4 linked regions of the Struthio camelus genome follow. The protein of the gene in region 1 purifies or fractionates together with the protein of each later gene. This does not show direct contact. Links are inferred from orthologs where the notes say so. Each region holds a gene or a part of one and is shown on either strand. Other genes may lie near its edges. The genes, in order: TP53RK, GON7, NUP43 and OSGEP.

The links.
Region 2: the proteins of TP53RK (region 1) and GON7 purify together in Homo sapiens (affinity purification with mass spectrometry; 5 studies listed by BioGRID and IntAct, counting the BioPlex papers as one, with this or other methods). This does not show direct contact. The link is inferred for Struthio camelus from reciprocal best matches to the Homo sapiens genes TP53RK and GON7.
Region 3: the proteins of TP53RK (region 1) and NUP43 purify together in Homo sapiens (affinity purification with mass spectrometry; 3 studies listed by BioGRID and IntAct, counting the BioPlex papers as one, with this or other methods). This does not show direct contact. The link is inferred for Struthio camelus from reciprocal best matches to the Homo sapiens genes TP53RK and NUP43.
Region 4: the proteins of TP53RK (region 1) and OSGEP purify together in Homo sapiens (affinity purification with mass spectrometry; 5 studies listed by BioGRID and IntAct, counting the BioPlex papers as one, with this or other methods). This does not show direct contact. The link is inferred for Struthio camelus from reciprocal best matches to the Homo sapiens genes TP53RK and OSGEP.

Annotation. Positions count from the first base shown.
Region 1 is NC_090959.1:8,360,600-8,366,481, forward strand, and holds TP53RK (EKC/KEOPS complex subunit TP53RK), read right to left. Parts: upstream 1,891-5,882; 5' UTR 1,856-1,890; coding exon 1,612-1,855; intron 1,139-1,611; coding exon 660-1,138; 3' UTR 517-659; downstream 1-516.
Region 2 is NC_090946.1:66,327,046-66,333,127, forward strand, and holds GON7 (EKC/KEOPS complex subunit GON7), read right to left. Parts: upstream 1,436-6,082; 5' UTR 1,402-1,435; coding exon 1,203-1,401; intron 1,026-1,202; coding exon 901-1,025; 3' UTR 515-900; downstream 1-514. Other genes in the region: putative E3 ubiquitin-protein ligase UBR7, read left to right, coding at 1,785-1,958, 2,145-2,278, 3,481-3,541, 5,192-5,287. UniProt on the Homo sapiens protein: Component of the EKC/KEOPS complex that is required for the formation of a threonylcarbamoyl group on adenosine at position 37 (t(6)A37) in tRNAs that read codons beginning with adenine.
Region 3 is NC_090944.1:82,000,800-82,008,318, reverse strand, and holds the start of NUP43 (nucleoporin Nup43), read right to left. Parts: upstream 3,021-7,519; 5' UTR 846-3,020; coding exon 579-845; intron 1-578. UniProt on the Homo sapiens protein: Component of the Nup107-160 subcomplex of the nuclear pore complex (NPC). The Nup107-160 subcomplex is required for the assembly of a functional NPC.
Region 4 is NC_090970.1:842,196-849,479, forward strand, and holds the start of OSGEP (tRNA N6-adenosine threonylcarbamoyltransferase), read right to left. Parts: upstream 3,014-7,284; 5' UTR 2,937-3,013; coding exon 2,822-2,936; intron 2,223-2,821; coding exon 2,103-2,222; intron 462-2,102; coding exon 286-461; intron 192-285; coding exon 96-191; intron 1-95. Other genes in the region: DNA repair nuclease/redox regulator APEX1, read left to right, coding at 3,702-3,771, 5,954-6,120. UniProt on the Homo sapiens protein: Component of the EKC/KEOPS complex that is required for the formation of a threonylcarbamoyl group on adenosine at position 37 (t(6)A37) in tRNAs that read codons beginning with adenine.

The sequences.
Region 1 (5,882 bases):
AGCGGAGAACTGCTCTTGTTTTATTATTTCTATATTTGCTTAATGAAAGAATATCAAAAGTTACAAAAGCCAAAATTACTACTGAAAAAAATGGACCTGTCTTATTTTTATCTCCATTTCAGCTGTTGTCCATGTCTTGGAATTCACAGTCCTCCTGAGAAGTTTCAGGAGGAGGTAGAGAGTCATTTATAATGAATTTAAAGCTAAGCTTCACAGTAAGTCTTCTGAGAAAAAGAACAGGCTTCTTTTTCTCTAGTTACCTTCTGTAGATGTCTTGGTATCTCCAGGTCCCTTTTACCTGCCACAAATCTACAGTCCACAGGCTAAAAAGATACTCAGTATGATTCTATCTACACAAAAGAGGGCCAGTAGAATGACATTGAAAGCTACTTTTTAAAAGAAATATTTAACCTTTAAAAAAAAGAAGTAACCTTTAGCTGTTTCTTTCTTGCCTGTGCTCTCATCTCACATAATTACTTTGGTTACTGTATGACTCTGCTAAGAACTACACAAAGATTATTGCCACACTGTAGTAAATTTATTTAAGACACAGACTTATCAAAATAGCGATATGTGAAATAAAACCAACTGGAAGTACAAATAAACATATATGCAGAACCTAAGTAGTAATATTTCTCCATCACTAAGCCTGCTCTTTTCTAGCCAACCATGGATCTCTTTCTTCCCCTTAACCGTACTTCATCCAGCTTTTTGACAACAGGACCAGATTTTTTGGATGTAGCTGCGTAAGTCTTCAGTAGAGTTTGGAACACAGTTTCTGTATCGGGATGAGTACTAAGAAAGGCCTTTTCCAGAACATACAAATCAACTCCTTTATCCTCAGGAAGACCTGAAACAAAACTGAGTCCAAAGTCTATCAACACCAAGTCCAGCTTCTCCATGGGTGGTCGCAGAAGAATATTACAAGTTGTAAGATCCCCATGTATAAGGTCTTCATCGTGCATTCTTGCCAAGAGCTCACCTAACTTCTCTGCTAGGGGAAGGAGGCTACTGGAATCATTTCCACATTGCTGTACAGAAGCAATATGATCTCGAACTGTAACCGAGTCTACGATATCTTCAAGATATATGCAGTTGGTGACATAATCCACAAAGTAGACCACCGGTGCAGGAATCCCTATTTAAAAAAAGGACAAATTAAACGTTAAGTGTTAACTTATAGGAACTTCCAACTTTATTAGAACAACAAAACACAGTCAACGCGACCCTTAACCGAAAAACGCCAGATTCAGATCACCCCTGGCCACCGATAACCCACTTCTAGGGCCCTCCTCTGCCAAACCCCACCTCCCAGGCCACGCTGCCCTCGCCTCCGTCCTTAAATCCCCTCGGGAGCCCCAGCCCGACCACGGCGCCGGCCACCGCGGCCCTCGGCGGCTGCAAAGCCTGCGCTGGGCCTAGGCCGGGCTGCGCTTAGGCGGGAGCCCCGGAAAGGCGGCGGGGCAGAGCCGCCGCGCGCCCTCAGGAGAGGCCGAGCCCCGGGGGCCGGGGGGGCGCAGGGGCCCGTCCCCAGAGCGGCGGCCAGGGCCGAGGGGGGCCTGTCGGCTCGGCTCGGCTCGGCCCGGCCCGGCCCGCCGCCCCCGGCCCCACCTGCCCGCCGGCAGCGCAGCAGCGACCGGGCCTCCTGCGCCGTCCGCCGCCGGCTCAGCCGCTCCTCCAGCGCCGGGTGACGGTACCGCTTGGGCAAGCGGAGCTTGGCCACCGCGTCCCGCCCCAGGAAGCGGCCGCGGTACACGCACGCCTCGGCGCCCTGCTGCACCAGCCGCAGCCCCGGCAGCGGCAGCGCCGCCACCTCCTCCTCCGCCTCCCTCCCGGCCGCCGCCGCCTCCGCCATGACAGAGCTCTGCGCCCCGCCCTCCCCGCACACCCCGCACTGCGCAGGCGCGGCGCCGCCTCGGGAACCTTCGGCGGCCGCGGCGGAAACAGCCGAGCGCCCCCCCCCCTCGCCTGCAGCGCTCGCCGGCCGCCGGCGCCCCCGCCACAGCGCGCCCCCGGGTGAGGGGAGCGGCACCCGCCGCCCCGGCGGCAGCAGAGCCGTCCGCCCAGCGCACGTTAGTATTGCTCAGCTGCCCTTGCCCTTGGAGGTGGCCAGAAGCGCGTTTTGTCTTTTGTTTTCCCGCCCGCAGCGTTTGTTTCTCTTCCAGGTTCGGTGTGTTCGCGGGGTGCCCTAGCGAGCGCTCGCCCTCTCGCCGCAGCCGCCCTGGCAGCGGCTCGCCGCAGCGTCGCGGCCGGTGCAACCTGCCGGCAAACGGGCGCCTTCTGCGGCTCCGTGTTTGGCATTTCCCAACACCGCAAGTAGTCAAATAAGCAGAAAACACGTTTTCCCTGCCTTGTGGGCAGGTTTTATCTGAGCAGCCGTGCACAGCCCCCGCAGACTTGCACGCGGCTCACGAGCGAGTGCACCCAGATGCCTTCGGTTCGTTGTTTTGGTAACAACGAACAGGACACTCTTCTCTCACGCTGGCCAAAATCATCCTCCCGAGTTTTCAAAATACAAAAGAAAATATTTTTGTTTTATTTTTCCCAATATTTTATTTATTCAAGTACTATCTTCCCTGTGATTCGATTTATTCTTTTGCGCTTTCAGTGCGGTAAGCGGTTGACATAGCCCTTGGAAACCATCTGGAGCCATTCACAATATTTATGGTATCGCCCAGTATTTTTATTGGACCTCTGAATCACCCCAGAGAATTTCCCTGAAGCCCCAGACTCCCTGGTAAACCGTTTAATTATGTAACTTTGTTCTCCTGGCGACAAGCGTTTACAAACCCTCCTTTCGTAAACAATATAACTGAGTTTAAAATTGCAACGCAGCAAAGCCAGCTCAAGGGAAAGCAATCCTGATCCGGCAGCCGGGGGTGCGGGGGCCCGGGATGCGCCAGGCGTCGCCGCAAGGCTGAGCCGGGACGGTGCCCCTCGGACGTGCGGGGGACCCGGCGAGCGCCCGGAGCACCCCCGCCTGCGCCCCGCGAACCTGAGCCCCGCCGGCTGCCGTGACGGCACTGGGGGTGAGACGGCTGCGACACCCGCGGGACGAATGGAGGTTTATGACCCGTTAGTGAAGGCGGTAGGGAAGGAAAGGAGGAAGCTGTGAAAATGCCCTTATCTTTGCTGACTGGAAGGATGCGCACAGGTTAGCATAAAAGAAAAACGAGAACAGACGAGCCTAATACGAACCAGCGCTCTCAGCTGTAAATCAGCACACTGTAAATGCAGGTGTCCACTGAGCTGGCTTCACCCTACCTAGCTACAACCCTCGCACCCACTCATGTGCTATAATGTTCATCAATAAGTGAATTGAGCTTGGTCCGTTTAGTCTTCTGAATCCCTTCTGGAGGGTGAGTTCTAGTTAGAGAGAACGTGCTCAAGCATGTGACTAGCGTTGCTGAACGCGGTGTCTTCCTTCTTCTAAGGTGGACACCTGTTTCCTCCCATATCTATATTTTCATTTCTGATTTTAAAGTCTCTTTGAGCTGCTCCAGCCCGGCGGTACAGAGTCACATCTTCGTTCCTCACTGAGCCGCGCAGAGCACCTTCAGTCCAGGCCGTGCTGCCAAGCGCAGGCTGCCGCTTCAGGCGCTGAGCCCTCCAGCACACACGTCCTTGCGGCTAGTGCCCGGTGTTTGGTTCAGTTCGAAGCAGGATGGTTCCCTCACGCATCCAAAACCAGAAGCCAAGAGCACGACACGGCTCCGAAGGAGACATGGCCCTGCTGAGACACGAGTGCCGAGAGCGCATGGAAAGCATCAGGGCTGGAGACGCGCAGCAGAGGAGAAGCACGAGCCGCCCGTGTCTGGGAGCGGCCACGGCTCAGCGCCCGGCTCGCTCGGGCGCTGCAGCTCCTCCGAGGGCCGAGATCAGAGCCCAAAGAGCCAAGCTGCTCGCTTCACCCGGCCCAGAGCATGCATTAACTGCAAACCGTACAGTTAGCAAGACAGATGTTACCTACACAACTGCAAAGCAAGACCTTTTTCAAAATTACCCCCGCTGTGCATTGTAAGAGTTTTCCACGGTCCCGTGTCGGAGGGCCATAACCCGGAGCCAGACGCAGTGCCGAGGGCAGCTATATTTCGGTACGTCCTAGTGTAATCTTTTCGGCTGCCTTTTGTAAACATGCCATAAAGCTTTGCTGTATTCCCCAGGACCTCACCTCCTTGCCGTCTTTGCTGATAACATTTACTAGCCAGAGAACAGGAAGCCACCAGGAAACGTAAGGGGTGGCTTCATGCTTGCAGATACACGTATGCAGAGTGAGCATGGAGAATTTTCCTTCTCACCCCACAATCATTTGAGAAGCATTCTAGTAAAACATGCAGGAACTGCTCAGATAAAACGTAGGCTATGTGGGCAAGCCATATACTTACCCAGTGATGCTGAGGGCTGTAGCTGCCCTCCGCCAGCATCCGGTGGTCTCTGGCTCCTTGCTTCATGTGGCAGAGGAGTCAAGCGCAGGTGCCACCTCTTCCAGCTCACACCGTTGTGCACCCAAAATGTCTAGGCTTGTGCTCCGGGGAGGAGTTACAAACCAAAGAGAGCCCTTACCTGAATTTGGGAGGCCAGAGATCATGGGCCAGGACATGCTGTACCCCAAACTGCTGTGCTCTCAAAACTTGGAATATGAGGCCAAGATACAGACCTGTAATGTCTTCTGGCCACTGCAAGCCGGCCTCATAGGTAGAGTCTGTGGGAAGAGAGAAGACGGCAAGCCTTTCCTCCCTCTGAGTGTCATGAGAGCTAACCATGATTTCAGATCTATTTAAACTACTTTAATATTAATTACAAACTCTATTGAAAAGCTCCTTCCTGAAACACCATTAGTTTCTGTTGAAAGTCTTCACGTCTGAAGCCATTCTTCACCTACCGTATGATCCCTGTGCAGCTGCGAGTTTATATTAGATACAAGGTTTTAGAAGCGGTATTTTTTACATACTGTATTACCATTGAAACGGAGGGATATGAATAGGAAGCATTTATTTAATCTGTAAAATACATAGATGATTTGAAACACTCTTAATATATACCATGTCTTTGAGAAGAAACAAAACCAAACCTTTTGATCAACTGCTGTCCATATTGCAGAGCAGATATCCTCCAGCCTAAGGCTGAAAGGACACACACCATCCAGTATTGCCAGTCTCAAGCACCCCAAAGCTATGAGCTGCAGCAAAGAAAGAGGTAGCACCGCTGAGCTCCAGAGCAGAGCCATGGCATGTACCCCATCCCTACATGCCAGAAGAATGAGTCTTCAAATATTTCTCTTAAACTGCCCATTCAGTTAACATGCGGAATGAAAGTTGAAAAGCTCTTTTAAAAATATCACATGCACCCTTCCTTCTTCACCCAACACGTTTACTTTTGTTTGCGTTGGAGGGGTGTGCCGGCACTGCACCCACAGCAGTGATTGTCCACTAGAAAAGAAGAGTTCAAACTCAGTCATGCTGCCCTTTTTTAGGCTTGAAATGATCGATCCTTCCTAGTGGGTATTCTTCGGCTTCCCAGCTGAGCCACCAAAAAACTGTCATAAACTATCAGCCAGCCTCTTGTGGGCTTTCCAAAGGTTTCCAGTCTAGAGGAGTAAAACTCTGTGTCAGGATCGGGTCCGGGGTCAGTGGGGAGAGGTGATTCCTGCCCCCCGCTAAAGTAACATACAGGCAGAGCCTGGGGACAGAGCTGCCATCCCAGCAACACAGGCTGTACCCTGCTGCATCCACATTTTCAGAACAATTACAAGTGTAGCCATGCCCGAGCTCTTTGATGGAACTTTATCAGTCTGTGCAGGCAAATCTAAGCCTGAGTATTTGCGCACACAGCTCCGGACTCAGATGCAGGAGGGCAGCGGGAAGGGCGTTTCGCCCAGCGCC
Region 2 (6,082 bases), on another chromosome or scaffold:
GGCTGTGACGTTCACTTTATTTGACTTAGCTGCTGAATCGGCCTAAAAATCAAACTGGTTAAAAGTCAGTGATGAAAAAGGTATATAAAGATTAAATGGTTCTTGAAAAAACAAAGATTGTTTGGAAGAAACAGATGACTAGGATAGACAGCTATGTTTTACTTGTATAATGATATAAAAGATAATTATCCAAGTCGCATTGACTTGTCAGCTTCCTGGCTATCATAAAAATTCAAAATGTTTGGAGACTAAGATTTCCAGCTCTTTCAATCTACTTCTTCTATGACCTTTACCAGGAAAGTACTTCAGTGATGGGTGACTAAAATAAACCTTTTATATTATACGCAGAAACAATCTGCCATCTTTTAGGCTCGTTCAGGAACAGACAGTCACATCTGTGCAAGTGTTTGTAACTTATTTTGAATACTCAAGTGATCTTACACTATTCTCTCTCCATACAAATGATTTCTTTGTCTTATACCATTTAAAAACCATAGCTGACAAAATAACGGGCTTCATATTTTATTATTTTATTTTAAAATAGTTTGGTTTTAAGTCATATGAAGAAATACTGTGATCAGGAGAAGCCATTAAAAGTGTTTCATATCTGTCACCTGGTTTACTGAAAATTCTCAATCTTTTCAGCCTAATATTCGCTTCCTGTAAAAAGCACATTGCTAATGCTAATACACACCCTTTTATTAGGCTTCTTATATTGAAATAGTGACAGTGATCTACATTTCATTTTTAAAACATGAGCAAAAGGAAGAAAAACGCTGACACCTGCCTTGCAAGAACAGTCTGCCCACCCCCGAGGTACCACCCTCCAAAAGAACACTTACATTCAATACTGCTGTAAAGTCTCTTTTTTAGGCCTAAATACAGTCTTTCACGCCATAGTCAGGACTGCTGAACTTTTGTCCGTTTTAGAGGTGGGCCATCTGCATTTGCTTTCACGTCAACGTTGTTTTCATCTTCATCTTCATCTCCTTCCTCCTCCTCCTCCTCCTCTTCCCCAACATCACCTACCAGGGTTCAAGCAGACAGCGGATGAGGTGTTGAAAAAGGCACACAGCCCCCCTCCAGTAGCACACGGCTGCCCAGAGGGAGGGCGCTGAGGCAGAGGGGGCGCGCGGCGCCCGGCTCGCCGCGCGCCCCCGCCCCGCCCCGCGGCACGCGCCCAACGGCCGCCCGCCACTCACCGCGCGGCCCGCCGCGGCCCCCCGCCTCTCTCTCCTCCTGCACCAGAGGCCCCAGCAGCTCCGCGACCTGCTCCTGCAGCTTCTCGAGCCCCCGCAGCAGCCCCCGCAGCTCGCCGCCCGCGCCCGCCTCCGCCTCGCAGCGCACCCGCAGCGGCCACGTCCGCCCGTCGCGGCCCGTCAGCTCCGCGCGCAGCTCCATCCCGCTGCTGCCGCCGCCGCCGCCGGAGGGGGGGAGGGGGAGGGGGAGGGCGGGCAAGGGGCCGTGACGGGCATCGCCGCCACCCAATCCGCAGCCCGCGCGGGCTGACCCGGAAGCGCTCGCAACCCGCCCGCGAGGCCGCGCATCGCGCGCGCAAGCCCCGCCCCACAGCGCCGCTCACGCAGGCCGCGTGCCACAACACAGCGCCGCGCGGCGGCAGCTGCCTCCGCCCCCCCCCCCCCGCCTCTTTGTGACTCGCCGCCGCGCGCGTCACGTGGGCCGCGCGCGCCGTTGCGGTTGCGGTTCCGCTTCCGCCGCGGCGCCCCCTGGCGCCCGAGACGCGTTTTTCCCGCCTCGGCTTGGCTCGGCCCTCGGCGGCGGCGATGGAGGCGGCGGCGGCGGCGGAGGAGGGCGCCGAGCCCGGGAGCGGCGGGGCGGGGGGCCCGGAGGAGCCCGTGGTGTCCCTGGCGGAGGTGTTGGCGGAGAACGAGGAGCTCGAGAAGGAGGCGCGGGCCGTGCTGGGGGGCAGCGACCACGAGCGATGCAGCTACTCCCAGGTGGGGGCGGGGCCGGGCCGGGCCGGGCGCGCGCACCTGGCGCCTCGCGGCGGGGCGGGGCGGGGCCGCGAGGGACCCCCGGGCGGGGGGCGGGGGGCGGCCGGGCTGCGCGGGGCTCGCCGCCCGCAGCGGCCCGGCCCGGCCCGGCCCGGCGCCGCCGTGCCCACGCGCGCCGTTTCGTTGCAGGGCGCCGTGAAGAGGCAGGCGCTGTACGCCTGCAGCACCTGCACCCCGCCGGGCGAGGAGCCGGCGGGCATCTGCCTGGCCTGCAGCTACGAGTGCCACGGCACGCACAAGCTGTTCGAGCTGTACACCAAGAGGTAACGTGCGACCCGCAGCTGGAGGAGCGCTGCTGCCGGGGCTTCGGCCAAACCGCGAAGCGGGACGGCAGAACAGCGAGCGTAGCGCCTCCGCAGACGTCGAGTGCGTCCTCCTCTTAACAAACACCTGTGTCCATCTTGTGCCCTGAAGTACACACAGGCTGCTTGCAACAGGGAAATAAAAAGTAACGCTGAGAGGCACAGAGCAATTTGAGTCTCCCCCTGTGGAAGCAGTACCGTAAGAACTAGGGGTATTGCGTCTTTTCGAATCTACGAAGTTTTTGGTTTCCAGAGTTCATCCCGTGGGTTTTCTTGGGAACTACTGAATGTGCTTGCCACAATTGCTTTTTAAATGCTAAGGCTTATCCTTGCAATTTCGCTTGCAAATCAGGTAATCATTTAAGGTTCATGCAATTATTTAGTGCAACACAAGCATCTCTGACGTGAAATACAGCATTTTCTTTAACAGGGTACTGAAACACAGTGATTTCAACTAATAATTGTCCTCCCCTCTCGTGTTTTCCTTAATGGTCTGAGTACTTCGAAACTCCTTGAAGAATTTTGGTATCTAGATTAATTGTCCAGAGAACAATTTTCCCACAGCGTCCTCTGCTATATATAAAAAAAAAAATTTAAGATGGGTTTTAATGGACCAAAGCAGGACAATGTTTAGATGTGCAACTCATGCTAAGATACCGTGTTTCCAGTAGTATGGAAGTTTGCAAAACTGGGCCGGAAACTTAGGTCAGGTTAATTAAGTAGTCACGTTCCTCCATTCTCTTTAGCTATCCAAGTGTCCCGTGCTATTTTAGTGAGAATTTAGGGTCCTGAATAGGAGATAAGAGCTTAATCGTCTGTGTTGATCTAGCCTAGCCTTTGGAGATGAACCAATTTACACGCTTTTGCCAATACACATGCTTGCCTTTTTGAATGTGGTAGTTGCAGCACCCTCAGTTAGCTGTTCTATTGAGGTCTCTCAGCCAAATGCTGTTGTAAATGATGATGTTAGCTGAGATCTGCCAGAAACACAGCATGAGAGGGTAAGGCCGCAAGGCTCTTTGGCCAGTTCTAACAGATGCTATTGTTTAAATAGCTGCAAGAATATTTTTATGGTTCCTAATAAACTGTTGGGAATTGTTGCAAATACAAAAGTTAATGCATTTTTAGATAATCAATCTGAAATGCTTTGTTTTTCTTTCCAGGAACTTCCGCTGTGACTGTGGAAATAGCAAATTCAAAAATTTGCAGTGCAAGTTACTTCCAGTAAGTTCAGATACAGGTTTTTAGACATACAGAATCAAAATAACAGTTTTAGAAGGTTGTGGTATCTTGCCTTAGAGAGTGCTGACTCATATTGTGCCTCTTCTTCTCCCTGCAAGTTAAATGAGGGGCAACGTTTGAGCTTTGTCACTCTTGGATGCAGCTGCTAGCATACATAGCTAGCTCAATGTTTGAAACAGCGAAAATGCTTTAGCAGGTTGTGATGCCTGTATTGATAACTCTTGCTATCTCTAAGCTGGCTTCAGGAGAATCTTTTTGGGGTATGATTTTACAGTTGCTTTAAGGAAACTTCAGATTGTGCTGAAGGAACATTTCCATCCCCTTTCCTGTGGCAGCGTTAGTGCGCTAATCTTTCTTGATAGGCTGTCACTGGAGTCTTCTGAAGGAGTAGTTTTTTACTGTATTAAGCTCCCTGTAGTTTCATGCTCAGTGGGCAGTTTGGACTCATTAAGTATTTGGTAATGTTCTGGAAAGCAGACAGAGGAAAGAAGCTTTTTGGCTTGCCTGCAGTTCTGTTCCTGAGATGATAATGCTCCAAGTGTAGAAACAGCAAGTGGTTCTGTGTATACCTGTTTGGTCCTGGCAGAATTGGGGCTGATCCAGAGCTAGTAAGCCTAGAGCTGCAGTCAGGTAATCCCTACAGAGTCGCGTGTGGCAATTCTAAGACGTTACTGCTCCTTGTTTGAGTCAGTGAAATGGATCATATGGCTCCTCCTTCTCTTCAGTGCAAAATCAATCTGCTAGTTTAAATGACCTTCAACATCAGTATGTTCAGCTGGCTGACTTCATGGATGAAGTGAGCTCATATCATCTGTTCTTCTTTTAACAGAGTAGTGGTAAAAAGCATTTTATAGCATATAAATTGTCACAGCTGTTTTTGCAAGGGCTGACTGTGGTCTTAGGCTGCAAGTACATACACTTCTGAAGTCCTCCGGCCCCAGCTGTATTAGTTATTTTTTGAAGTGGAATTAGCTGTAACTGAACTTCATTCAGTGTGTTCTGTAATTTGGAACACCCTCTCATATGGAGTGAGGTTTAGATGACATTAATTTAGTGTAAGCTAAACATTAAACAAAACATAACATTAAACAAAATTGAGTTTGGACCACAGTCTGGATGCTTAAAAAAAGAAAGAGCGTGTGGAAGGTGCACAGTAAATGTGCAGACTTTGCTGCAATGGCAACAGCCATGCATGATTGGTGATCAAACCTCAAGGATTTTGTTTGAATAAAAGCTTAGTGGCTAATGGCCTTCTGGAAAGAATTGTGCACATATAAAAGAAATTTAAATTTGGCTCCCAACAGTTATTGTTAAAGAAATATTATGCTCTTAGGCATTTTTAGATGAGCAATAGCTTTAAACAAAACCCACGATAGTTGCCATTTGCTGTTCTGTGTGTGAAAAGACTGTTCTTCGTCTTTCCTTTTGAACTTCAGTACTCCTCACGTGCCCTGTCTTCTGCCGACTGTATAACATAGGGGTCTCAGGGTAATATCTTTGTTTTCAGATGCTCAAGCTGATGAGTGTAATGACCGCTTTTAGGAAGTAAAAATTTTTTTTAGGGTATGCATCTTTCCGGTCTTCTGTTTCTCACTGCATTGCCTATTGAAACAATTTCTCCTTTCTTTCTAGGAAAAGGGCAAAGTGAATTCAGGAAATAAGTATAATGACAATTTCTTTGGATTATACTGTACTTGTAAAAGACCTTATCCCGATCCTGAAGATGAGGTAAGAAATGCAATATGCAGTAACCATGTTCAGAAGGTGTCTATACAAACCACTGTGCAAAGGGTGATCCTCGAGCTGTTTCTTAAGGAAGATCCCACTTTCAGAAATCTTATGATCGATATTATTTTTGACTGTCTTTCACTATATAAAGTAATACATTCTCACTTTCTTTTTAAAAATAGTTAAAACTCTTTATACTTTAAAAACAGAGGAGGAAGACACGCCATCATTCAGACAAAATGGTGGTACACTCATCTCTGCTTTCCTCTCTGTAGAATTATATGGTTCTCTTAGGGAATGGGTTTATCTTGAGAAATCCTACGAACACAGAGAAGTCACTTGATATGAGAGATCAGAATCTGCTTCCTCACGCTTGTGACAGTGCTCTAACAAGACTGCTTCTGGGGTGGGGATGTTTTGTCTTTTAACAGTGGCTTTAGCCTTCCTTTATATCAGTGGAAATGCTGTTTCTCTGTCTGAAGTATTAAAACATGGCACTTGGTTTACGCATAGAAACTTTCCTTTGCAGTTATAAAAGTTAGATGTTAAAAAATGAGTTTGTTAGGAACAGAAAGAATAAGAAAGGCATAAATCCTCCAAATAGGAAAAGACTGTATTAGTATTATTATAAAATATGAACTAATTTCTCCCAAGTTTAGTGAAATCTAAATATTTCTAAAGAAATCATTAATAATTATTTCATAATAAATCAGTTTGTACTAAGTTTGTATTATGGACAGTTAAGTTAGGAATATGGCATTCCTAAATAAAACCTGATGACACTGAGAATAATAA
Region 3 (7,519 bases), on another chromosome or scaffold:
ATTCTATATATATTTTATATATATATATATGTGTATGTATTTGATACACTCTCTTCAAGGAGTTACCACATGAAAAAAAGCAAACGCTCACAGCACACTAGCTGCATCGAATAAATAAGTTCTCTTCAAAAATAAATCAGGCCATCTAGTCTTAAGGAAAAAGAATAAAGCAGAAACAAACACATACAGAAGCTCTTAGGAAAGAGAGCTTCGACTACAAACTTGGGCAGACGCCCGTTTTCAAACAAAGCCTGGCAAACATCAGTAAGAGAGAGCAGAGGCAAGCCCCTCGGGCTGCGCCCTCCCCTAACACGCAGGGCCGTCTCCGCAGCGGCCCGGAGCTGCGCTGGCGCCCGGCCTGGGCGATCCTACAGCCCTACAGACCTCCCTCCCCGTAGCCCGGCCCCACCGCCGCCGCTCTCGGCGCTCACAGCCGCGAAGGAGCCCGCTCGGCCCCGCTCTCCCGTTCCAAACGGCAGAGGCTTAACGGGGCTGCGGCGGGGGCGGCGCGGCGCCCCGGCGGAAAGGACGCGCCACGCCCCCGGGCGCGGGGCGCCGCTCCCCGGCCCGCCCGGTACCTCGTTGTCCCAGGAGCCGGTGGCGAAGATGTCGGGCGGCTGCAGCGCGGCGGCGGGCAGGGGCCGCCAGCGGGCCTTGCTGACCTTCTGCGACACGAACTTGGCACACACGTCCTCCATGGCCGGCGCCGCCGCCGCACGCCGGCTCCCGCCGCGCGCCTGGCGCCGCCACTGCTGATTGGCTGTGGCCGCGCGGCGACGGCGAGCGAGGAGGGACAGGATTGCCGAGGGGCGGCGAGCGCGCCCAGGCGGGGCAGGGCTCGCCATAGTAGGCGGGGAGGGGCGGCCCGCGGCCGTTTGTACTGGCAGGGCGGCGCAGGTGCGTTGCGTCGCGTTACCGGCACGGGTAACGGCCGCCTGCTCTAACGGACGCTAAAGGGGAGCGGGTGCGCCTGGGACGCCTTTCTCTTCGCTTTACTAAGCGACAGTGAAGGAAATAACGGTTTCTTAACTCTGCTACTGACTTCCCCAAAAGAGGCACCTGGGTGCGGCCCAGGCCCGAGTCTCGTTGCGCTATGCAGCTGCCTGCGGGAGTTGCATCTCTGCGTTTTGAGAAAACGGGAACCAAACGCTCCGGTGCGGCGCGGCCACCTCTTGGGCTGTGACGGAGAAAGGGAGGAAAACATCCCCCAGCGAGGGCAGTGACCTTAACAACCATCTCTTCGCTCCTGAGGTCCCTCCAGTAAGCGGGCCCGGCTCGGCAAGGAATGCTTTCTTTCCTTCGCCCTTCCACCAATTGCACTGTCTCCACGCTCCTTCTTCCACATTTCCAAAAATACATTGCCAAGAACTGCCTATACCTCACAGGTAATGTCATTGACCTGCCTCAGAGATGCTGTGTTTCCTCCAACCTACTGATGATGTTCCCAGCTCAGAAAAAAAGCATCTTACTGTTTTTCCTTTCACATTTCACTCTTACAAACTCTCATGTCAGGAAAACTGACAATAATTGGGTCAAGGTACATATATCGCACAAACATTATTTACAAAATTGGGTCTGGAAGAAGAAATAAAATGAAAAGTGAGTCTGCAAATGTACTTTGTAGGCTCAGCCAGCCTGGCTTCAGCACATAACATTAAACCTTTGCAAGATCACCAACATTTATTTTCTCAAAATGCACTAAGCAGTATCAATGGCTTTTATATGAACTAATCATCTGTTCTCTAGATTTGTTTTTAAATCACTACTGGTGATGCTCTTCTTTTCCCTCTGTGAAATCCCTAGTGGTGGTGAACTGCAAAAATCCTTCTCGTCCCAAATATTACTTTAATAAGCATAAACACAGGTATATTGTCCTATTTCCTTTATCTATTTCACTTCAGACCTAAATGACTGTGTGGAAAAAAAAAAAAAAAGGTTAGTAGAGGTTAGTTGTAGAGGGAGGTCATTTCAGAGGACTGGACTATCCATTTAACCACTACTCCAAAGTAAAGGACTTTTTCATAGATAGCTTTCTTCTTTTTCAACCTATTTTTTGCAACATCTTTTAAAAGCTACTATCAGCTGTCCAAGGTTTTGTCAGGGGTACTTATTAGCATTAGCAGCAGTGTCATGGTTGAACATTCACCTGTATTGTTGCAGTTTGCCTGCCAGAGTCTTCTGTTCTTGTTATATAGCATTTGTCAGTTCCTCATCAAGCCTGCCGTGCAGTGTTGCAAACCTTTAGATGTGATACCAAATCAGTCATATTATTTTATATGCTTTATGCATCATTTGAACCTCAACTGTGAGGAACGCTTTTTTTTCAGAATTATGCACTGCAGAATCCAACACCGAACTTATTCAAGAGGCTGAGTGCTATTGTGTTCTACCATACTGTAAGCCTCAGAACAGCTTTGTTACGCTGTGCTGTATGTAACATTGTTATTCTACAGTAACCAGTACCTCCGCCACCCTGTATTAAGCCACTAGCAGCAATTGTGCAAGTCACAATGAACTCTAAGGTAAATATTTTGAGCTAATTCTTGTAATAGGTGTGAGAAGGGTCAATAGGTGACCTCCGAATACTGCTACAGACCAAATAACCAAAAGTGGAAGAGCCAGGACAACGCTTTGGAATTACTGAAATGTTTTATTAGGCACATGTGTTTGCTGATTACTCTGCAAGAAAATAAATTTATAATCTTACTGTGTGTATTTTTTCTCCTTTGCTCTGGGGCAGTTTCATTCTTTGAACAGGGTTGATTTATCAAAAGCATTTGGAAAGTATGAAGGAGAGTAGGCTGGCCATACAGGCCATTTTCGTTAGGGCAAGAAAATCCTGAGTTTTCTTTCCTGTCTTACCTTTTTAAGAAGTATTTTGGCAGCATGCTATGTGATGGAGTTGGGAGCTATGATGGATTTAGGACTGCTCTATAATACCTTTCAATATCTTATGTTCTCTATATTTGATCATTGTGAAAGATATGTATTGTGTTGATATGTTGTTTCAGTGTAATAGCAGATTTAAATAAACAAAAGGAGGAAACAAAGCCTGAGGAGAAAGTATAACTCACCAAATATTTCTAAGGTTGCCAAAAGGGGATTTAAAGTCTAGACAAAGCTAACTGTGGGCATTAGATCCAAATATATTAGCTGAAACAAGAAGAAGCTTCTAAGGGTTATCCTTAAATGTGACTTAAGTTATGAGAGTGAGTGGAAGGGAGGAAAACACCCTTCTCTGCCAGAGGTTAGAGAGCCTGGGAATGAATGGACTTATTGGATTAGTGGCTGTACAAGGGCAGGATAAACCTAATTATGCATCTTCTGAAGATGCTGTTTACTTCTAATATACTTTGCTCCAATTATCATTCAGCAATACTTTAAGAAAGCTATTTGGAGACACTGTATTTATCGCTGGTCACAACTCCTAGTGTTGTGCTCAGTTCAGTCTGTTGAGCAAGCACAGCTGATATGCAGGATGCTGCAGGGCTGACACAAAAGCCGAGTGCCAGGGCCATGAGTGTACCCGCTCCTTGCCCTGACCAGCCCTATCTGGGACCCCCACCTGACCTGTGGCACCCACTCCTGCACTGAGTGATGTTGCAGGAGGGCCTGTGGACCTGTGCCCATGACTTGGTGACTGGCTTGATTTGGGGCCTGACTCGTCACTTTGCTTTTGTGTGCTGGCAGAACCATGATTGTCCTCAACCCTGGCTCTCCTTGCCTTGCTCAGATGCTGTGGGACTGCACCCTGTGGTGGGGTGTCATCCTCCCTGGCTCTAGCATCCTCTTCCCCCATGGAGCAGCCCCACTCCTGCTGCTCCCTGGCACTGAGAGACTCTGATGTGCCTGAGTCCTTTTCACCTCCCACTGGAGCTGGAGCTGCGGAGAGGGGGATGCAGACTTCAGAAAATCCTAGATGTAAACTTCTGAAATGGAAGTACAAAATGAAGGTACACACCAGGCTGGCTTGAGATTGCAGGAAAAGAGATGAAATGAAGGGGAGTGATTAAGTTAAAAACAGAACAGAGGCACAGAGAGGAGTGAGTGTAGGTGTAGAAGATGGTTAGTGTGTACTTTGGGACATAACTGTGGAAATGCTCAGTGCACGAGGACATTTCTGCTTGTGAAAAGTATATGCAGAAGCAGATGGGATCAGGCAGTGATGACCAGAGTTTCATATGCTTTTTAAATTAAAAGAATTTTAAAATTCTAATGGGTTCAGGGGGTGGGAGGGAAGCATTAAACAGAAACAGTAGCAGGGAGGGGTTTACATATAAATGTATATAAATACAGCTAAGGGATTCAGATGTGGGTGAATGTGTAGAAAAAGAGAGAGAGCTGAGATCTGCTGTGTACTTAAAATTACTGGAATCACCACATTAAAACAATTAAGTGATTGTCTGCTTTGGCTGTTAGCATTCCCATGCCTCTTCCCTTACTGGCCAGTCCACACACCAGCTCTTTGTGACCAACATCCACAGTACTGGAGAATCTATGAAGACGGCTGTACTTACACAAGATGGAGGTACCTGCAATTGGCAGCGGGCCTCGGGAACCAAGGCACTCAAACTGGCTTGCACAGGTGAGGGGAAGAAGATAAAGAAATGCTGGGTGTAAGAGCAGATAGAGAGGTTTCACGGAACTAAACGTATCTAAAAAACATCTCTTTTTAAAGTTTGTCTTCCAACATAGCACAGAATGTTTGTGGTTTTTTCAGAGGATTATCTTACTACAGATGTTTTTAATAAGTTAAAAAGGGGACTCACGGCCTAGGGTCATAGAGCAGAAAGAGTTAGTGACCTTCATGTTTGTTTATTGCACAGATGGGTGCATCCTGATGCTATTGGTGTGCTTCAGTTTCTCAGGTGCCTTTACGGCAAATTGACTTGTCTTAAAGCTCCTAGGAACCAGCAGAGCCAAACACCATTTATTTCACAGGTGCCTGGTAACCATCCAAGCTACCCCAGATTTCATTTTGGATGGCCCATGCTTGTGTTCTTCTCTCTCTCTGAACAGTCATGCCAAGAACATAGCCAATAGGCAGCCAGTGGCACAACTGGTTTGAAAGCTTTTGCGCAATTCTGCATGTTCCTAGCAAACAAAGGTGGGCTTTTTCTCTGTGCTCTGTGACAGGCTTCATTCTAATTTGAGCTGGTCCTGGTAAGAAGAGTCAGTTTGTATGTAAATGTTTTCTCTTGTGTTTTGGTCTCCCAATGGGTAAGTATCCCTGGAATGCTTTTAAGTATAGGCCAACTCATTTATTGCCAGCAGCCTCTCTATGTGGGAGTAATGCAGTTTGCTTGCATCTGACAACAGAAGATGTCTTTTGCATTTAAAACTATTAAGTATTTTTGTGTGTTTTTACAATGTCTGCTTATTCTCTGTGCTTGCTGGCCTTTGGGAATTCCTTTAACTCCATGACTTCCTTCCTTCTCTCCTGGCCCCCTAGATACCAGAGGAAAGACCTCTATGTATGGTGGGACAGGCTGGGAATCTCGCATGGAACATAGAGTAGCCCCCAAATCATGCTTGGGAGAAAATGGATAGAGAATACAGAATGAAGCAGGGGATCAGTCTCCACGATTAGAAGAACCAGATGGAAGAGGTCTGGGAAGTCTGTGGATGGGAGCTGGTGTGTATATGGGACAACTGCCAGATTTGCTCTAGATAAGGTCCTAGCTGGAAAAGCAGATTCCCACCTCCGCCTTATTCCCTTCACTGCGACTAACAATCATGAGATGAAGCATGTGTGTGGTGAGCAGTTGGAAGAGGCTTATCTCTCCCAGGATGGATTCTCTCACAGAAGATATTATCTGTATCTTCCATACAGGCTGCATGTGTCCTTTGATGTTGAATTTAGCTGCTCTTAGTCTTCTGCAGAAAGATGTAGTCCCATTACTAGGCGCACAGCTGTTTTCAGAAGCCGCTGTGACAGGATGGCGACCTCCAGAAACATGGTTACACTTTAATACATCCACGGGTTGCTGAGACGTATCTCTTACCGCCTGTGACGTTGGAACCATGATTCCCCAAACAAGGTGGCTGACCAGCCCTGCTGAGACCATTGTGCTGCTTGCTCTCCTTAGCGGCAAATTTACCACTAAGCGGTAGACTCTTTTAGTGGCAAAAAGAGTTTGTGATTGAGCTCTTGGAATCCATTATCTGCCTTGTGGCAGGTAACAGGGCTGTACATGTGCAGCTGGGGTAAGGCCAAAGAGAGTATTATAGGGCCAAGAGACTTTTGGGATCTCAAAGGACATACCTACTGCAGGGAGCATCCTAAGCCTGAGATCATTTGGATACATCTGAGGAAGCTGCAGTTGCCCTGAAGATCATAGCTGGACTTGTACCAAGGAAGACATCTGCATTACAGCAGCCCTCAGGAATGTCTTTAAGGAACAATACAATCTTTGAATTTATATCTGTCGGAGGATATGTTGTTCTCACTCTCCTTCACTGAAAGGATATAAGCTGCGTTATTTTTATCTGGCCATGACAGCATATTAAGTGCATAGCTTTCTAGCTGTTAATGAACCCCTATATACAATATTTAATTTGATGATAATTTTCCACATCAGCACATTATATCATCTGTATTCTAGGATTTTGCTCATCAGTAATCCTAAAGATAATATACCACTCCCTCTTACAATCTCTTTGGTAAGAGGACCCCTTTACCTTATTGCTCAGATAACTTATGCAAGTGTAGTTTAGACATTTGCTATTTCGGATTTTACAAGCTACCCTGGCCCTCCTTTCACACCAGTATCAAGTGGAGAAGCTCATCTTTTATGCTTAAAATGCCTTGCATTTGCCTTCCCAGATTGCTGCAAATCTCTATTACAGCTCTACCAAGCTGTTTCAGCTGAAACACTCACCCTCGATACCAGCTACATGTGCTTGGAGCACTGCAATTGGTTTGGCTACTGTGAGTCACTGGGGAAAGAGTTCAGGTGGCCTGGGCAGGTACCTTAACTCATTTCTTATTTTTCAGGAGAGTTCTAGAGTTTGGCTGAAGATCTTACCCAAGACATGAAGTTATCACAGTTATAGCTGTAACTGTGCAGTAATTGTACTGAATACAGAAAGTGATTCCAAAAGAGAATTTTCTTGAGAAGGGGAAAACATTCTTCAGAAGATAAACTGAATGAACACTGAAAGCCTGGGGGCTCACTATGACAGTATCAATGGATTTTTCTTGTACAGTAAGTCAGGAAAGAAGTCGACTGGAAATCTCCCTAAAAAGCACAGGACAAGTCTAAGTATGCACATAGGTAGCTTGAAATACTACTTTTCTCTAATGTTTCATACTACATATTATTGACATGGCCAGAGTTTTTATAGTTACACATCACTATTCTCATGTTTCAAGAGGGTAGACTGGAAACTGTTGTCTGGTAATAGGTAGATGATGCAACTATAGTGTTGCACCTGGTTCAGAGCACGGCAAAATTGCAGTCTCCGGTGTGTGACTGCCTGAGAAAGTTCACTCACAGAGACCAGAAGGGGGCATAAA
Region 4 (7,284 bases), on another chromosome or scaffold:
GTCCGGGGCAGGGACCCAGGCGTCCGGGGCAGGAACCCAGGTATCCGGGGCAGGAACCCAGGCGTCCGGTCCAGGGGGCCCAGGCGTCCGGGCACCTGCAGGGCGCGAGCGAAGCGGTCCAGGCAGTTGCCCACGGCCACGTCCAAGGTCTCGCCCAGGATGCGGTAGCGGCGCCGGGCGAAGGCGATCACCTGCCGGCAGACGGAGAGCGAGAGTTCAGCGTTCGGCCCGGGGGCTCCGTGTCCCCCCCCCCCCCGAACACGCGTGTCGCCCCGAGCCGTGTACCTGCGTGTTGCCGCCGCTGACGTAGAGCACGAGGGGGTCGCGGGCCCCGCACACCAGCCGCCCCATCTCGATGTGCCCCACGCAGTGGTTCACCCCCAGCAGCGGCCGGTCCCACAGCTGCGCCAGCGTCCGGGCCGCCGCCGCCACCACCGCCAGCGGCGCCCCCATGCCCGGCCCTGCGCCCCGCGCACGCTAAGCACACGTCAGCCCCCTCGTGCCCCCCCATGACCCCCACGCGCCTCCCGTGCGCTTGGGACGCGGCTATAACCACCGATAAGGCCCCTGGGAGGAGTGCTGAGCGCACACGCTAAGCACATGCTAAGCACATGTGAACCCTATCACGCCTCTGGGGCCCCCCACGACCCCCACGCGCCTCCCGTGCGCTTGGGATGCGGCTATAGCCACTAATATGGCCCCCACGAGGAGTGCTGAGCGCACACGCTAAGCACATGCTAAGCACATGTGAGCCCTATCGAGCCTCTGGGGCCCCCCATGACCCCCACGCCCGTCCCGTGCGCTTGGGATGCGGCTATAACCACCGATAAGGCCCCTAGGAGGAGTGCGGAGCACACACGCTAAGCACATGCTAAGCACATGTGAACCCTATCACGCCTCTGGGGCCCCCCACGACCCCCACGCGCCTCCCGTGCGCTTGGGACGTGGCTATAACCACTAATATGGCCCCCACGAGGAGTGCTGAGCGCACACGCTAAGCACATGCTAAGCACACGTGAGCCCTATCGCGCCTCTGGGGCCCCCCACGACCCCCACGCGCCTCCCGTGCGCTTGGGACGCGGCTATAGCCACTAATATGGCCTCCACGAGGAGTGCTGAGCGCACACGCTAAGCACATGCTAAGCACATGTGAACCCTATCGCGCCTCTGGGGCCCCCCACGACCCCCACGCGCCTCCCGTGCACTTGGGACGTGGCTATAACCACTAATATGGCCCCCACGAGGAGTGCTGAGCGCACACGCTAAGCACATGCTAAGCACATGTGAACCCTATCACACCTCTGGGGCCCCCCACGACCCCCACGCGCCTCCCGTGCGCTTGGGATGCGGCTATAGCCACCGATAAGGCCCCTGGGAGGAGTGCTGAGCGCACACGCTAAGCACATGCTAAGTACATGTGAACACTATCACGCCTCTGGGGCCCCCCACGACCCCCACGCGCCTCCCGTGCGCTTGGGACGCGGCTATAGCCACTAATATGGCCCCCACGAGGAGTGCTGAGCGCACACGCTAAGCACATGCTAAGCACATGTGAACCCTATCACGCCTCTGGGGCCCCCCACGACCCCCACGCGCCTCCCGTGCGCTTGGGATGCGGCTATAACCATCGATAAGGCCCCTGGGAGGAGTGCTGAGCGCACACGCTAAGCACATGCTAAGCACATGTGAACCCTATCACGCCTCTGGGGCCCCCCACGACCCCCACGCGCCTCCCGTGCGCTTGGGATGTGGCTATAACCACTAATATGGCCCCCACGAGGAGTGCTGAGTGCACACGCTAAGCACACGCTAAGCACACACGACCCCGATTGGGCCTACATGACCCCCAGTGACTCCCACCCACCTCCCCCCCACCCGGGACACGTCTCCAAGTGCTCCCAGGGCCCCGGGGACGCACACGGCACGCACACGCTAAGCACACGCTAAGCACACGCTAAGCACACGCGACCCCGATCGGGCCTACATGACCCCCAATGACTCCCACCCACCCAGGACACGTCTCCGAGTGCTCCCAGGGCCCCGGGGACGCACACGGCACGCACACGCTAAGCACACGCTAAGCGCACGCCAAGGACACGCACCGCGGGTGAAGGCCACGGCGTCGACGTCGGCCGCCCGCAGCCCGGCCTCCCGCAGCGCCGCCGCCACCAGCCCCGGCAGCCGCCGCCGGTGGTGCCGCGCCGCCGCCCCCGGGGCGAAGCCTGCGCGGGGGGGGGGGGGTCACCCAGGGGTCGGGGGTCACGGCGGGGTCACGCGGAGGGGGGGGAGCGGGAGGGGGTCGCCCGGGGGGGTCAGGGGTCACGGGGGGAGGTCGGGGGTCATTCAGGGGTCACCCGGGGGGGGTCGGGGGTCGCCTCGGGGTCACGGGGGTCACAGAGGGAGGTCAGGGGTCATTCAGGGGTCACCCGGGGGGGGTCAGGGGTCAACCGGGGGGGTCAGGGGTCATTCAGAGGTCACCTGGGGTCAGGGGTCACGGGGGGGGTCAGGGGTCATTCGGAGGTCACCAGGGGGGTCAGGGGTCACGGGGGGAGGTCAGCGGTCATTCAGGGGTCACCCAGGGGGGTCAGTGGTCACGGGGGGAGGTCAGGGGTCACCCGGGGGTCACGGGGGGTCAGGGGTCACGCGAGGGTCAGCGCTGCCCTCACCCCCCCCGAGCGGTGACGTCACTGGGGTGGGGGGGGGAGGGAAGGCCGTGACGTCAAAGAGCGGTGAGCTCGTGGAGGAGGGGGGGAAGGGCGGAAGTGACGTCACGGCGCGCGCGGGGAAGGGGGAGGAGGGCGGAAGTGACGCGGGCGCTCACCGTGGCCGGGCGCGGTGACGTAGGTGGCGCGCGGGTTGCTCAGCACCGCCCCGTCGCGCACCAGCCCCGCCCCCACCTTGTTGGCCGAGCCCTCCAGCCCCAGCACCACCGGCATGACGTCACCGCCCGCGTCACCGCCCGCGTCACTGCCCGCGCTCCTCTCCCCGCGCCGCCGCCGCCGCCGCCGCCGCTTCCTACTTCCGCTTCCGGCCCCCGCGGGTCCCGCCCCTTCCGCTCACGTAGATCCGGCGCGCGCTGATTGGTTGGGGAAGCGGCGCGCGGGGAGGGGGAAGCGGCGGCGCGCGCGGATTGGCTGGAGCGGGGCGGGGGTGGGCGGGGGGAGGAGGAGGAGGGAGCAGCGGCCGGCGGCGCGCGCTGATTGGCTGGAGCGGGGCGGAGGGGGGCGGGGGGAGGAGGAGGAGGGAGCAGCGGCCGGCGGTGCGCGCTGATTGGCTGGAGCGGGGCGGGGGTGGGCGGGGGGAGGAGGAGGAGGGAGCAGCGGCCGGCGGCGCGCGCTGATTGGCTGGAGCGGGGCGGGGGTGGGCGGGGGGAGGAGGAGGAGGGAGCAGCGGCCGGCGGCGCGCGCTGATTGGCTGGAGCGGGGCGGGGGTGGGCGGGGGGAGGCGGAGGAGGGAGCAGCGGCCGGCGGTGCGCGCTGATTGGCTGGAGCGGGGCGGGGGTGGGCGGGGGGAGGCGGAGGAGGGAGCAGCGGCCGGCGGTGCGCGCTGATTGGCTGGAGCGGGGCGGGGGTGGGCGGGGGGAGGAGGAGGAGGGAGCAGCGGCCGGCGGCGCGCGCTGATTGGCTGCGGCGGCGGGCGCTGATTGGCTGCGGATGTGGGGGCGGGGCCTGGGGCGGAGGGGGCGGGGCCTGGCGGCGGCCATGCCGAAGCGCAGCAAGAAGGAGGCGGCGGCGGACGGAGATGGCGGCGAGGAGGCGGCGGCGGAGACCGGTAGGGACCAGTATAGACCAGTATAAACCAGTACGGACCAGTATGGACCAGTACGGCCCGGCACAGGCCGGCGCCGGCCCGTAACCCCGCCCACTGCCCCCCCCACGATATCCCAGTGCCCCCCCACCCCCCTCCCAGTGCTCCCAGTAGCCCCCCCAGTGGCCCCAGTGCCTCCCAGTGCTCTCCCAGTGCTCCCAGTAGCCCCCCAGTGCCTCCCAGTGCTCTCCCAGTGCTCCCAGTAGCCCTCCCAGTGCCTCCCAGTACCTCCCAGTTCCTCCCAGTACTCCCAGTAGCCCCCCGTGCTCTCCCAGTGCTCCCAGTAGCCCCCCCAGTGCCCCCAGTACCTCCCAGTGCTCTCCCAGTGCTCCCAGTAGCCCCCCCAGTGCCTCCCAGTGCTCTCCCAGTGCTCCCAGTACTCCCAGTAGCCCCCCCAGTGCCTCCCAGTACCTCCCAGTCCCTCCCAGTGCCCCCAGTAGCCCCCCCAGTCCCTCCCAGTCCCTCCCAGTGCTCTCCCAGTGCTCCCAGTAGCCCCCCCAGTGCTCCCAGTAGGCCCCCGTGCTCTCCCAGTGCTCCCAGTAGCCCCCCCAGTCCCTCCCAGTGCCTCCCAGTCCCTCACAGTGCTCTCCCAGTGCCCCCAGTAGCCCCCCACTGTCTCCCAGTGCTCTCCCAGTGCTCCCAGTAGCCCCCCCCAGTGCCTCCCCGTGCTCTCCCAGTGCCTCCCAGTGCCTCCCAGTGCCTCCCAGTGCTCCCAGTAGCCCCCCCAGTGCCTCCCAGTGCTCTCCCAGTGCCTCCCAGTTTTCTCCCAGTGCTCCCAGTGCTCTCCCTGTAGCCCCCAGTGCTCTCCCAGTGCCTCCCAGTGCTCCCAGTAGCCCCCAGTGCTCTCCCAGTGCCTCCCAGTTTTCTCCCAGTGCCTCCCAGTGCTCCCAGTGCCTCCCAGTACCTCCTAGTGCTCTCCCAGTGCTCCCAGTAGCCCCCCACTGCCTCCCAGTAGCCCCCGTGCTCTCCCAGTGCTCCCAGTAGCACCCCCAGTCCCTCCCAGTGCTCTCCCAGTGCTCCCAGTAGCCCCCCCAGTGCCTCCCAGTAGCCCCCAGTAGCCTCCCAGTGCCCCCAGTAGCCTCCCAGTGCTCCCAGTAGCCCCCCCACTGCCCCCCACTGTCTCCCAGTGCTCTCCCAGTGCCCCCAGTAGCCCCCCACTGCCTCCCTGTGCCTCCCAGTGCTCTACCAGTGCCCCCAGTAGCCCCCCCAGTGCCTCCCAGTACCTCCCAGTCCCCCCAGTAGCCCCCCAGTCCCTCCCAGTGCTCTCCCAGTGCTCCCAGTACCCCCCACTGCCTCCCAGTACCTCCCAGTGCTCTCCCAGTGCCCCCAGTGCTCTCCCAGTGCTCCCAGTAGCCCCCCCAGTGCTCCCAGTAGCCCCCCATGCTCTCCCAGTGCCCCCAGTAGCCCCCCAGTCCCTCCCAGTCCCTCCCAGTCCCTCCCAGTGCCCTCCCAGTGCCCTTACAATCCCTTCTAGTCTCTCCCCGTGCTTCCCAGTCCCTCCCAGTCCCTCCTAGTGCCCTCCCAGTGCCCTTCCAATCCCTCCCAGTGCCTCCCAGTCCCTCCCAGTGCCCCCCAGTGCCTCCCAGTGCCCCCCAGCGCCCTCCCAATCCCTCCCAGTACCCCCCAGTCCCTCCCAGTGCCCCCCAGTGCCCTTCCAATCCCTCCCAGTCCCTCCCAGTGCCTCCCAGTGCCCCCCAGCGCCCTCCCAATCCCTCCCAGTACCCCCCAGTCCCTCCCAGTGCCCCCCAGTGCCCTTCCAATCCCTCCCAGTGCCTCCCAGTGCCCCCCAGCGCCCTCCCAATCCCTCCCAGTACCCCCCAGTCCCTCCCAGTGCCCCCCAGTGCCCTTCCAATCCCTCCCAGTGCCTCCCAGTGCCCCCCAGCGCCCTCCCAATCCCTCCCAGTGCCCCCCCAGTCCCTCCCAGTGCCCCCCAGTGCCCTTCCAATCCCTCCCAGTGCCCCCCAGTGCCCCCCAGCGCCCTTCCAATCCCTCCCAGTGCCCCCCCAGTCCCTCCCAGTGCCCCCCAGTGCCCTTCCAATCCCTCCCAGTGCCTCCCAGTGCCCCCCAGCGCCCTCCCAGTGCCCCCCAGTGCCCCCCCAGTCCCTCCCAGTGCCCCCCAGTGACGGCGGCGCGCCCCCCCCGGCAGGCGGGCGCCCCCCGAAGGCGGCGCGGGGCGACGGGGGGGCGGCGGCGGCCCCCTACGAGGACCCCCCCGACCGGCTGACGGCGCCGGGGGGGCAGCGCTTCACCCTCAAGGTGACGTCCTGGAACGTCGACGGCCTCCGCGCCTGGGTGCGCAAGCAGGGCCTGCAGGTGGGGCCCCGGCGTCCGGGAGGGGCCCCGGCGTCCGGGGGGGGGCCCAGGGGTCCGGGGGAAGGGGACCCAGGTGTCCGGGAGGGGCCCAGGCGTCCGGGGAGGGGGCCCAGGTGTCCGGGAGGGGCCCAGGCGTCCGGGGAGGGGGCCCAGGTGTCCGGGGAAGGGGCCCCGGCGTCCGGGGAGGGGGCCCAGGTGTCCGGGGAAGGGGCCCAGGCGTCCGGGGAGGGGCCCAGGTGTCCGGGGAGGGGCCCCGGCGTCCGGGGAGGGGGCCCAGGTGTCCGGGGAAGGGGCCCAGGCGTCCGGGGAGGGGGCCCAGGTGTCCGGGGAGGGGGCCCAGGCGTCCGGGGAAGGGGCCCAGGCGTCCGGGGAGGGGCCCAGGTGTCCGGGGAGGGGCCCAGGTGTCCGGGGAGGGGCCCAGGTGTCCGGGGGAGGGACCCAGGCGTCCGGGAGGGGGCCCAGGCGTCCGGGGAAGGGGCCCAGGCGTCCGGGAAGGGGCCCAGGCGTCCAGGGAAGGGGCCCAGGCGTCCGGGGAGGGGCCCCGGCGTCCGGGAGGGGCCCAGGCGTCTGGGAGGGGGCCCAGGCGTCCGGGAGGGGCCCCGGCGTCCGGGAGGGGGCCCAGGCGTCCGGGAGGGGCCCCAGCGTCCAGGGAAGGGGCCCAGGCGCCCGGGGGAGGGGCCCAGGTGTCCGGGGAAGGGGCCCAGGTGTCCGGGGGGGGCCCAGGCGTCCGGGGAGGGGCCCAGGCGTCCGGGGGAAGGGGCCCAGGCATCCGGGGAGGGGGCCCAGGCGTCCGGGAGGGGCCCAGGTGTCCGGGGAAGGGACCCAGGCGTCTGGGGAAGGGACCCAGGCGTCTGGGGAAGGGACCCAGGCGTCCGGGAAGGGACCCAGGCGTCCGGGGGAAGGGGCCCAGGTGTCCGGGGAAGGGGCCCAGGTGTCCGGGAAGGGACCCAGGCGTCCAGGGAGGGGCCCAGGCGTCCGGGGAAGGGGCCCAGGCGTCCGGGGAGGGGCCCAGGTGTCCGGGAAGGGGCCCAGGCGTCCGGGGAGGGGCCCAGGCGTCCGGATGAGGGGACCCAGGTCTCCGGGGAAGGGGCCCAGGCGTCCGGGGGAGACCCGAAACGCCGGCCCTCGAAGACCTGACGGACCCAGGCGTCCCGCACCCGGGGG